2 linked regions of the Daphnia pulex genome follow. The protein of the gene in region 2 binds, or shares a complex with, the protein of the main gene of each other region. Links are inferred from orthologs where the notes say so. Each region holds a gene or a part of one and is shown on either strand. Other genes may lie near its edges.

The links. The genes of interacting proteins can lie anywhere in the genome.
Region 1: the proteins of uncharacterized protein LOC124198601 (region 2) and kinase suppressor of Ras 2-like are in contact, whole or in part, in a cryo-EM structure (PDB 8BW9), measured with the Drosophila melanogaster proteins. The link is inferred for Daphnia pulex from reciprocal best matches to the Drosophila melanogaster genes cnk and ksr. Residues at the interface, in NP_001286524.1 of Drosophila melanogaster: Lys79, Asn80, Asn82, Gln84, Leu88, Glu183, Asn187, Ile190, Gln191, Ile193, Ser194, Asp195, Pro196, Val198, Leu199, Gln200, Pro201, His288, Thr289, Met291; in NP_001287177.1 of Drosophila melanogaster: Arg900, Gly901, Met902, Lys903, Gln904, Ser905, Leu906, Ala907, Gln910, Ser911, Gly912, Arg913, Lys916, Asp917, Met920, Tyr925, Lys945.

What each region holds. Positions count from the first base shown.
Region 1 is NC_060019.1:3,434,340-3,440,603, forward strand, and holds the start of kinase suppressor of Ras 2-like, read right to left. Parts: upstream 3,511-6,264; 5' UTR 3,141-3,510; coding exon 2,967-3,140; intron 2,908-2,966; coding exon 2,622-2,907; intron 2,561-2,621; coding exon 2,312-2,560; intron 2,251-2,311; coding exon 2,097-2,250; intron 1,668-2,096; coding exon 1,420-1,667; intron 1,349-1,419; coding exon 1,208-1,348; intron 1,133-1,207; coding exon 1,016-1,132; intron 941-1,015; coding exon 791-940; intron 705-790; coding exon 531-704; intron 462-530; coding exon 342-461; intron 249-341; coding exon 40-248; intron 1-39. Other genes in the region: replication factor C subunit 5-like, read left to right, coding at 3,897-3,987, 4,063-4,146, 4,218-4,261, 4,359-4,521, 4,591-4,750, 4,822-4,958, 5,028-5,102, 5,484-5,561 and 1 more; pyruvate dehydrogenase [acetyl-transferring]-phosphatase 1, mitochondrial-like, read right to left, coding at 6,038-6,264.
Region 2 is NC_060023.1:3,772,828-3,777,856, reverse strand, and holds the end of uncharacterized protein LOC124198601, read left to right. Parts: coding exon 1-85; intron 86-146; coding exon 147-1,422; intron 1,423-2,009; coding exon 2,010-2,115; intron 2,116-2,199; coding exon 2,200-3,381; 3' UTR 3,382-3,608; downstream 3,609-5,029.

The DNA of each region.
Region 1 (6,264 bases), on a different chromosome or scaffold from region 2:
GCTTTCAAATTGCAAATAAATAAAATTTGATTCACTAACGCTATTTTGGCGAGGCCAATGACGATCTCCCGATGTTTCAGTGTCAGAGATTTGACTGTCTTGCGAATCAACTCTGTAGGTGCGCTCCGAATCTGTACTCGTCGAATTTGATCCCGAAGTACCAGAAAGACCAGACACGGAGATAATCTTATTCGAATCTTGTGATGCATGTCCACTTGTTGAGTTCTCGACGGAAGGATTTCCGGATGCTGCCAAAGCAAGATTTTGAGAAAAGAATTTTAAATTCGTTACACATTTAAAACACGGTCTAGAATGTAGAAAATTCCAACCAATTATGGTACCTGGACTTAGGGTGGTGACAGAGTTGATAACGGAAGTACTATTCTTTGCCGACAATGGAACGTGGGATAATGGCGATAACAATGTTTCGGCACTTTGTGCTCGATCAGCTTGGCGAACATCTGTTGTTAGATGACCGTAAAAATTTACATCATTACGACTGAAACATATTTTTAAGTTTTAAATAGTACCAGGAAAGCGGAATTGTGTGATTTGTGATGCCGAAGTTGGCGTGTGATTTGCGGAAATGTGCGAAGGTAGAACTAAAGCTGGGCTTGAGGGAGTTGAACTGCTACAGCTAGATGTAGTCGAACTTGAATCAAAATGTGTAGAGTGTAGACCAAAGCCGGACGTCGACCCACCTCCTATGAAGAAAATTGTGAACAAAATTTTACTTCAGAAGTCCAGTCACATGTTTGGCACAGAAAACTAAAGTAAATTGAAGTCAAACCCTGATTCATATGAATGGCAGGTTGTGTCCTGGACTTTTTCTTGTCGTGTGGCGTGAGTCGGTTCAACGAAGGAGACGGAACCGACGTCGTACTACTACCAATCGTATTACTGATTCCAGTTGTTCGCTGCATGATCGGCGTTTGAGGACCTGCAGATGAGTTTTTTGTGATTGACTAAACTTAAAAAGATTCGATGTCTTACTTAACATATGGAGATCACTTACCATCGTTGATACGCTGACGAACATAGTCTATTAAGCCAGGTGGAAGTTTACAGGACGGCGGTACTTTGGTGGCACAATCCCGATGACATTTATATTTACAATCTTTACATTTTAGACCTAGAACCAGACAAAAAATTAAGAAATGATTTTAAGGTACGTATTATGATATGATTTTTTCCCATTAAGACTTGCCTATGAACATTTGCTTCAAGCAGAGGTCACATACTGTCAACATCTTGAAAGTCATCGTAAATCGGTGATTTATGGTATGAGCCATAACGGCCGGTCCGCCAACAGTGGGAGTCCGTGGAGATTTCGGCGTCGCAACAGTTGCTAAACAGAAAACATGAAACATTGGAAAAAAAACAAACAATAAAAGCTAAGGGGAAAAAAATGCAAATTACATTTTGGTATGTCATCATTGGAGTCGTCTGTGATGCTGCAAGGATCGGTGGCCAATCGGTGTCGCCCTTTGGACGGGGTTGAGGAAGTTGGCACGGCACCAGCCGGCGAGGCTCCAGGCAAATTGCTATTCGAAGTTGGTACAGGAGAACTGCTTCCAGTTACCGCCAAGTGTTCCATGCTACGTCCCAGCCAATAAGCGTTAGGTTTGGTACGACGAAAGCGGGACAGAAGCATAGTACTGGCACCACTACAGAGAAAAGTTATACACCCACCACCCATTCACGCGCGACAATAACGAGGCCATTTAATTACCACGAGTAGAACGTGGATTAATGTTGTTACCAAAATATTTAAATCCAAGCCAATAAGCCATGTAAACCCAATTTGAAGGTAATGGAAACATAGTTAGTTAGTAAAGGACATGGATGGGGGAAATGAATAAAAAGATCATAAAGAACAAAAAATCAGTATTCATGCTAGGTAATATATGAACGTCAGTTAAATGTTTCTGATGCAGTTCTTCTGGTCGAGAATTGTCATCGCCAGCCTTCGTGATGATGTGCATTCGCTTAACAATTCCAAGACATTTCTTAAAATATACATTAATTCTAACATTTCGCTAGAACTGTTGATGCGCTCAGATTTTCGAATAATAAAAGGAATAGTTTTTTTTTACCTGATAATATCATTTCCGTCGATTCTATTGGCTAGCTGGGATTCGTGGGAGGTAGATTTCGTAAGAGGGAAATCCGTCAATAGTGGCGCAGTACCACCAATAACCTGGTTTTTCTTGCGAGGTGGTGGAGTTGCAGGGAATTTCATACGATCTCCTAAATTGGAATTTCATTAGTTTCAACCACGCTAGTTAATAGCCGACTCCATGTATTTTACCTCTTCCTTTTAATAAAGATGGAGTAGAGGGAGGGCTGCGGTTTTCCGAAGTCATTTGCGGAATGGTTTCATGGGCAGTTATTATACTTTGAATGGGGGATGAATTTTGTATAACACTGTCATTGTGCTGTATGTTAGAGGACATTGGCATTGACATTTTTGTAGCATTATCCCAGGAATCCCAGTAAAGCGCTAAGTCAGGTGTTGTTCGGCCACTATTACCTTCCTTTTCATTATGTACCAGAACTTCTGCAATGTCAAAGCTCTTAGAGTTGGATCAGTTAAACATTTTTATAAATGAATATCTTACCAGTATATCTCTTAACACTCTGAAGTGCTCTTATCAAGCGCCTGTATTCATCTTCTTTTGCAGAACACTCATTGAAGATCCTTTTAATTTCATGATCACTGAGTTCTTGCAAAGATTCAAGAGATTGAAATTTGGCACACAAGGTTTCAACAGATGGCTGAGATATTCCAACAACTTGAAGCCATTGCTTGATTGACGGAATGTTTTTGACTTCATATGGTAATCCCTCTATGGGAATTTTGGCTTTTGCAACTAGCTGTTTGCTGAATAATTTGACTAGTTTACCCTGTTAAAATATTGAAATGATTTAATTCAGAAAATTCTTTTAAATAGTAAACATCTTACCTCTATGGTTCTGATTTCTTGTTGAATCAACTCAGCACTGGTAGAGCACTGGGTTCTCAACCCTTCTAGATGTTTAGCATGAATGTCTATCATTGCATTGATATCTAAGAGCGTTTGAATGGTGTTACAGCTGTTGACCACAACAACAGCTTTCTTTGTGATTCCAGTATCCATTCTTAAGGGTATCTATATCTAGTACTTTGGTTGTTATTGCAGAACTTTACGTACGAAATTGCATATTATTCAGACGCAAACCGTCAACACTCAAAGCTCTTCGGACTCCCGACTAATCATGTTTCCAAAGGCTTCCTCACCCACCGTACTTCTTTGTTATATGACTATCCAATGTTTTAGAAATCCATCGCGGTGTATAAGCGGTTTAAACGAACGAAAATGCACAGAGTTCCAATTTCGCAGACGCCATAACAACAATAACTAATGCCATCATAAGCGAATGTATTGCAATACATTACAGTCAGTCAGTATCAATAGAATCACTGATTATTCCATTTTTTCCACTACAGTCCGCGTACTTCTGCATTGTGTAGTAGCCATCTATGGTCCGAAAAATTAAACTGGTGTTGAATCGAGATTTAGTGTGATTTAATGTTATCAGTTATAAAATATTGTTCAATTCATTTGGTCTTGTAAAATACGGTGAATAATTTTATTTGTATGGATTTATTATTTTATTTTAAATGGAATTAGTTTTGTAAATCGATTAAATTGGCATTGGTGTCAAGTCAAGTTACTTTAGGCGCGCTTTACTTGTCTAAGAAGACGACGTGCATTTAGTTCCATACAATTTCGGTTTGTTTTTAATTTAATAAGTTTAATCAATTTAAAAACTAACAAGTTATAGAACATATCTGTAGGAAGTACCTAAATAATCATAATAAGAGGCCTCTGGTATCTAGAGTTTCTTCGGAAATGACTTCCTCGGGAAATCTGCCGTGGGTGGAAAAATATCGACCAAAACAGTTGGATGACTTGATTTCTCACCAAGATATCATTTCAACAAGTAACTCTCTATATAATTCTATTAATTTTCAAAAATGTTTCATTGCATTGCATTTTCTCTAATAAAAATTTGCAGTTCGCAAGTTCATAAATGAAAATCGATTACCTCATTTACTTTTTTATGGACCTCCTGGAACTGGAAAAACAAGCACCATTCTTGGTATTAATATTCAATAAATATTACATTAGATTTTATTTCATGATTTGACTAATCAATTCATTCAAAATTAGCATGCGCGAAAGAACTGTATACACCCCAGCAATTCAATTCCATGGTGAATAATGTTACACAATTAAAATATCCATGTTATATTACATTCTTTCTTAGTTCAAAGACATCCTACAATCTAAAACTTTTTATTTTATGTGAAGGTTCTTGAACTAAATGCTTCTGATGACCGAGGCATCAATGTTGTAAGAAATCAGATCATGAGTTTTGCTAGCACAAGATCAATATTCAAATCAGGCTTCAAACTTATTATCTTGGATGAAGCTGATGCTATGACTAATGATGCTCAAAATGCACTTAGAAGAGGTGATATTTTAAAGAGATCCAACTAGTTATTAAATAAATCATTACCATTTCATGATACATTTTTTCTAGTAATTGAAAAGTTTACTGAAAATGTTCGGTTTTGTCTCATCTGTAATTACATGAGTAAGATCATACCAGCTATCCAGTCACGCTGCACTCGTTTCCGATTCGGCCCATTAAAATCAGATCAAATTTTACCTCGGATGAATTACGTAATTGAAGAAGAAAAGTAAGAGGAGAAAATTAAACTATTCTAATCAAACATTTATTAAACTTTGTAAAATCTTTTCTCCAAATTAGAATTAAGGTCACGGAAGATGGGCGTCAAGCTTTGTTGAGCTTAGCTCATGGCGACATGCGTCGTGTCATAAATATTCTTCAAAGCACCTCAATGGCTTTTGATGAAGTGAATGAAGATCATGTTTACACTTGCGTCGGTATGAAAAAAATGATGTATGCTAATGATTCATGGAAACACATTTTTAATTCTTATTAAATCCTGCCAGGTCATCCTCTTAAATCGGATATTGCAAATGTTGTTTCGTGGATGTTAAACGAAGATTTAACTTCAGCTTATAGCAGTAAGATTTCTGCTCTAGAATTGCTATAAGCTTTTTTTAAATCTGGGGTTGCATGACTAACTTATTTTTAGTTGGCAATCAGCATAATTGAGGGTTTTTTTGGCGGCAGGGATAGTAGAATTCTCATCGTTCCTATAAATGGCTGAATATTAATGTAGGAAAATTCAAGAATATTAAGGAAAGAATGAGTTGGCGAAAGAGGTCGGGGTATCCATTCTACTATCCTTTCCGTCAAGAAAAAATTACGTAGACGAATTTGCCTTCTAAGGCTGGCATGACTGTATATATTAATCAGAATCATGTTCTGGAAATTTATCAAGACGTTATTTATCGCCTAGTCATTAGAAATAAAGTTTCTGTTCGTTTTTATTTTCATCATAGAAATACGCGATCTTCAAACTTTCAAAGGCCTCGCTTTGCAAGATATCTTAACTGAAACGCACTTATACGTTCACAAAAGTAAGTTTTTTTTTCCCCCAATAAGCTCTACAACTGTTAAATTAATTTTGGTTGTTTTTGTGGTCTAGTCGAATTTCCGCCGAACGTCCGAGTCTTTTTACTGGAGAAGATGGCTGATGTTGAATATCGTTTGTCTGCGGGGTGCTCTGAAAAATTACAACTCGGATCCTTGCTTGCTGCCTTTGATTCAATTAAATATTTAATTGCTAAAGAAGTGTCAGTAAATTAAAATTATCCTAATCTAATTCTTCTGGTGTAAGGAGTTGTACTTCCTGAATTACATCAACTATTCATATAGTATGTGTTTCCATCAGTTGTATTTACATTCTAAACAAAAACAACCTCAGATCAGATGCCGAGGTGGAGTAAGGGCTCGCTGACTAGGGTATGATTAAAATATGACAGTCTCGATACAATGAATGAATAAGAGATAAAGAACGAGTACTCACGCAATACGTTGTGTCACAAGCAAAATCCTATTCCTGATTTGTTTGGGGAAGAGATTTCAATAGGTAGTCAGTGTCGAAGTAAGCTACAATGATGGTGATATCATCTCTGAAAAGCCTAACAACGTCATCTGGCAACGAAAGGAGCTCTGAGAGACGATCAGGATCCAATCCTGTTTCTGTCGAAGCTAAAGCATGCCGAATCAAATGTGTTGCTGCATTGGTGTCCAATGGTCTCTTCGATAATCCTTCTCTTC
Region 2 (5,029 bases):
ACGGTAAAGCAATCGGCCACGGCACCTTATGGGAATTCTAGTGAGGGTTCTAGTATTCACAAGGACCCATCGTTTATCACTAAAGGTTTGCCATTTTATAACATTACATCCCTGAAACTTGTGCTTACATGACATTTATGATTCAGGAGCTTATTACAGTGAAACAGAAGATGAATCACTCGACGAGGCAGAAAACCATAAAATTGGTTTGGCCTCCACTCTAGGTCGTAGAAAAGGGAAGATCCCGCCTGCATTGCCCCAGCCGAATTCGCACAAAAATGTTCCGTTTGGAGGGACAGCGACTTTAGGTCGAATTAAAAAGAGTCCTGAAAATCCCTACGTCTATACAGAGGAGAAGAGTCCTCAGTCTCCTTCGAAGGCCAATAACCGGAGTCCGATGGCAGCCAGTTTAGATCGAAAGTACTTGCGTTTCTTGCGCGTTGCCCCCGAGAAACAGCCAGTACCAACACCCCAATTTCGCAGCTACCGTAAACCTTGCCCTTCGCCGTCACCAACTGCCACTTCTGCGCCGACCGCATTACCTCCTTCCCCTTACTGGATGGACGGATCCAAACCTCCACCACGGCCTCCTAATGAGTCGAAACCGGCTTCGCCATTCAAACCGCAACCGTCGCCAACAGTGATGAAAGACAATGTGGAATCAAACGGATCTTCATTTGATTTCTCATCACCGATCCAACCAAAGCATGCCCAAGCTAGTCGCCATTCGGCCGAACGTGCTGCCCCGCGGACGAACCATTCTGATGCCATCAACGCCTTCCGAAAAAGCATCAGCACGTCAAAGTTGCCCAATACGCCTCATTTGCAGCAGACTAACCTGAATACCACAGCAGAAATATCGTTGACGGAAATGAAAGAACGTCCTGGCTCTGCAACGGTCTTTCCACGCCGTCCCAGCCGACGACACAGTATTGAAATTATCGATACGAAATCTCCCAAATCTCCCGTTAAGCCTCAGTTGGCTCCGAAACCCAGCAGCGCCCGAATCATGGGTCGAAACGCTGGATTAGATTCTTCTACTGACGTTACGCCTACCGACGGAGTCCAACGTCGAGCCATGTATGGTTCATTGAATCGTTCCAGCTGTGGTGACACAGACATCTATGGCAGTTTGGAATCCGGTTACGCCAAAATCAAGCCGCGTAATTCTAGCAGTGCCAGCGACTATTACCGAAGTGGCAGCACTGGAAGTTCTGCCACTCTAAGTCCCCACAAGTTGGAATCTGTGGGTCGCCGTTCCAGTGTGAGCTCTTCGAGGCGGTCAAGCACCGATTGTGGTTCCACCGTCAAGTCTGGAGGAGTCAGCAGCAGCCTTTCTAAACTGCCCTCACCTGGTGCTTCCCTCTCACCCGCTTCACCTAGCCGAGGAGTGTTTGATTTCAACAATGTGGATCCTTTTGGGTATGAACTGAACTTGTCTGAAACTAGCTCTTATGTCAGGAGGCATCGCTCTAGGACTCTTGAACTTTTGAATCTACCTCAAGTTCCTTTCTGGTTATAGTTGTGCATCACTATGTGATGTGTGGACCAACTTCGTCTGCAATTTTGCGCACTATATGGCCCGTAAATTGTTCGTTAGGGCTTTTTCTTTTTTCGGAAGTGGGACTATTGTACAGACACTATTCAGTAAAGGCAGTCAATAAAGTACATTGTGCTGACTTTGCCCCCCTTTGCTCTGACTAACGAGCCCCGTCGTTATAGTTGGCTCACTAAGCGGGGATTTCTTTTGAAGCCCCCCTTCTCATTAGGCTGAATAGAGTGTGGGGTGGAGATTCCAGAATACAGTGTGACGACACTCCTGATACACCATTGTTAGTGCGTGTAGTGAAGAAAAGTAAACTATATTTTCACTAATGAGCATCTAGTCCGTTTTGATTCCATTATATTTAATGGAAAATCTCTTTGGAAGCAACATATAGATAGGGAAATAACCTTTTGCATCAAATGTATATGGATACTAAGTTTGGTTTTTATGTTTCTCCAAATAGGAAAAGTTATCGTCAAGGTCCGCCAGATCAATTATGGATCAATTCTTTACGCAATGGAATGACCACTAGTCCAGGAAAGCATGGCTGTAGTCCCGATCGTCCAAAGGTAATCAAACGCATTTAATTGTTTCCCTGTGTATCATTTTCACGAGAGATTTTTACTCATTATTCTGAATTTCACCCAAACCAGAACTCGAGCGCCAGGCTCAAAAGTACATCCTGTTATCAGCCAATGAATTTCCCGCTCAGTCCCAAAGACGACGCCAAAATGAGAGCTGCTTTTGAAATGAATTTGGACGTCACGTCTCCTGCGACGCCAGATCCTGACATTCAGAAAAGCACCGGAGCTGCCGCTGATGCGAAGCAGTTCTTTAAAATGTTGGTTTCGCCTAAATTCGGACGCAAAACGACGTCGTCCTCGCCAACCATTCCAGCCAAAAACAAAGTTATTGAAGCGTCTTCACCCCCGTTTACGACTGCCACGACACCGTCACCCCGTCTGCAGAAGACACTTTTGGGGTCACCGCGGCTCCATCGGGCTATTTTCGGCAACTCTAGAGATAAACGTAAGAAGCTGTTGGAAAGTGGCGAGCCCCACTTGCGTCCGTTTGTTGCGGAAGAGTCGGCCACGAATTTCGATGAGCGTACGGAAGCAGACGAATCTCAATCGAGTTTTAATTCGTCCGTCTCGAGCGAGTTTTCTCCTCGTTACTCACCGGCGTCGACCATCCATCATCGTTCACTCCATCGACCGCCCCCGTTGATCAGCCCGTTACAAAGTCCGTCGGTTTCCAGCAACAGCGGAGTGCTCGTCATGTCGCCTTTTGAAGATAGCAGCGGCAGTTGCCCGGGAACGCCGAAAACTCCGCTGCTCAAGCCGGCCATGGGCGTGTCGATGATCGGCAAGCAACGACGAACTCCTTTGGGTCCCGATTCGCCGTTCGGTCCGCCGTTGAGTCCAGCCTTTTCAACTGGGGGTGGAGGTTCTTTGCGCCACCATTCCTCGACGACTCAATTTCCGTACACGCTAACCCCCAAAGAATCGTCTCCCGCTCCAGCACCGCCATTGATTCCGTCTAGTGGAGAACTCGAGTACCCGCCCGTTTTTGAGCCGGGCACCTACAGTCTGTCTGAGAAGAATGTGGAAATGCATCTGACGTCGACTCGATCTTCTTTGACTTCCTCTTCAATGCCGCCCGTCCCAGCACCTCGCACTAAATTTCTATCGTCGACCACTAGCCGCCTGTCACATTCGCCGTCGATGGAATCCACTTCGAGTTCCAGGGAATCCACTTCCAACGTTTGCCAGCAACACCGCGTTCACGTGCGTCTGGAAACGGGTCGCTCCATCGACGAGTCATCCAATGCTTGAATTTAGATTGAATTGCGTGTTCTTCTTTTTTTTCTTTTTTACTTGTTGTCTTTATTTGAAGTGTACGTGGTGTTTTCGTCGGATCTGTGATGTAATGACGTTCTTTTGTTTCGAACCCGCTGCCAGTTTGCAGTTTTCGTCTTCCAAATTCACCGACCGTTTGCAATTTCATTTCGGTTTCTACACAATTTTTCTTGAGCCAAAAATATAACCGCTTTTTTCTCGTTTCAGCGCTGTTCTTGTGTGCTGCTGCCCTCACATCTAGATTGGCATTGGATGTAGTTGGTTGACTTGCCGACGTTGCGTATAATTTCATTTGGTAAACCACGAAAGAGCACCGCCAAAGAACGTCCGTGGAATATCTGCATCTCATTGTGAGGCCGCTTCCCTGTTTAGGTATTCCGTCTCGGTCGTCAAACAAGTCACTGAGAGAGAGAGGGAGAGAGGGCATCTATCCTCAAACATCAAAAGAAAGAAAGAAAGAAAAAATCACTACCCAATAATCAAGTTTGCTGTTCGGACTTGACTGAATCTGCGCTCTCTGACCAAAAGTTTGGGAGATAGCAAACAGCAGGAGATGTTGAATCACCATATATCCAGATCGCGATTCATGTCTAGTAGTTCATGCGCTGAGAAGAAGAAGATGAAGTCTGGGTATTTTTTTTTTCTTTTTCCCCCCTCTCTTTTCAATTAAAAATGCAATTGCGGGAACTTCCAAGTTTCGCAACTCAAGTTGTTTATCACGCTTGGCCGTCGGTGAAAGACCCCAAGGTTATTTTCCAGTTGTGTTTGTCTTGTCAAAAGCTGTACATATCCCGACGAAACTTGTCTCTCGTAGAGTAGAACACTACGAGAATGGGGAAAGAAAAGCTCAATTTCATGTCAGGTTTGTTTTGGGGGGTTGTTTTATCTTTCTTTTCAGAAATTAAATAATTGTTTACCGTGAACAACCCAACATGTACCGTGAGTTGGATTTTTTCAAGTCCACTGTGTATGATGAGTAAGTATTTTCTTTTTTCTTAGAGTTTTAGACTGCACCCCTTGACTCTGCTGCGCTGGTTTGTGCAACGTGAGATGCGTGAAATGAAATGATTGTTATCTATACAAACTGTGATGGGAGATAAAAGGGTGGAGAGAATAATAACGAGGCACGAACTGAAACAGAGAAAATGAGATCGAAAGAAAAGGGGGGAAAAACAAAAACAACCGAAATTTTTTTGACAAAAGGTGATGAATATAATAATAATAATATAATAATACAAGGTGTCAGTGTGACATTACATAGCGACGTAACAGTTGTGAGCATGGCCGGGCTGTTGGATGAAAAAGACCATCAACGGTCAGGAACTCTTTTTTAAGAAAAAGACTTAAATCCATTTTCTATCGAAATCCGTGACGCGCGTGAGAACTTGCGTCGCGGTCCGTCGCCTTTTTCCAAGTGTCTCTCAGACCCGTTTTTTTTCTTCTTCCTCTTCCTCGAGTGGCTGTTGTGTTGTGATTCCCCGAGTTTATTATACAACAGCAATTTCGAAAAAGAAGAGGGAAAAAGAAAAATGAGCGTGAAAATAGTTTGCGCGCGCGGACACCTGCTGGCTGTGACAAAAGCTCTTGGCCGCTCACGTTTGTACGCCTCGTTCGTGTATTGCAT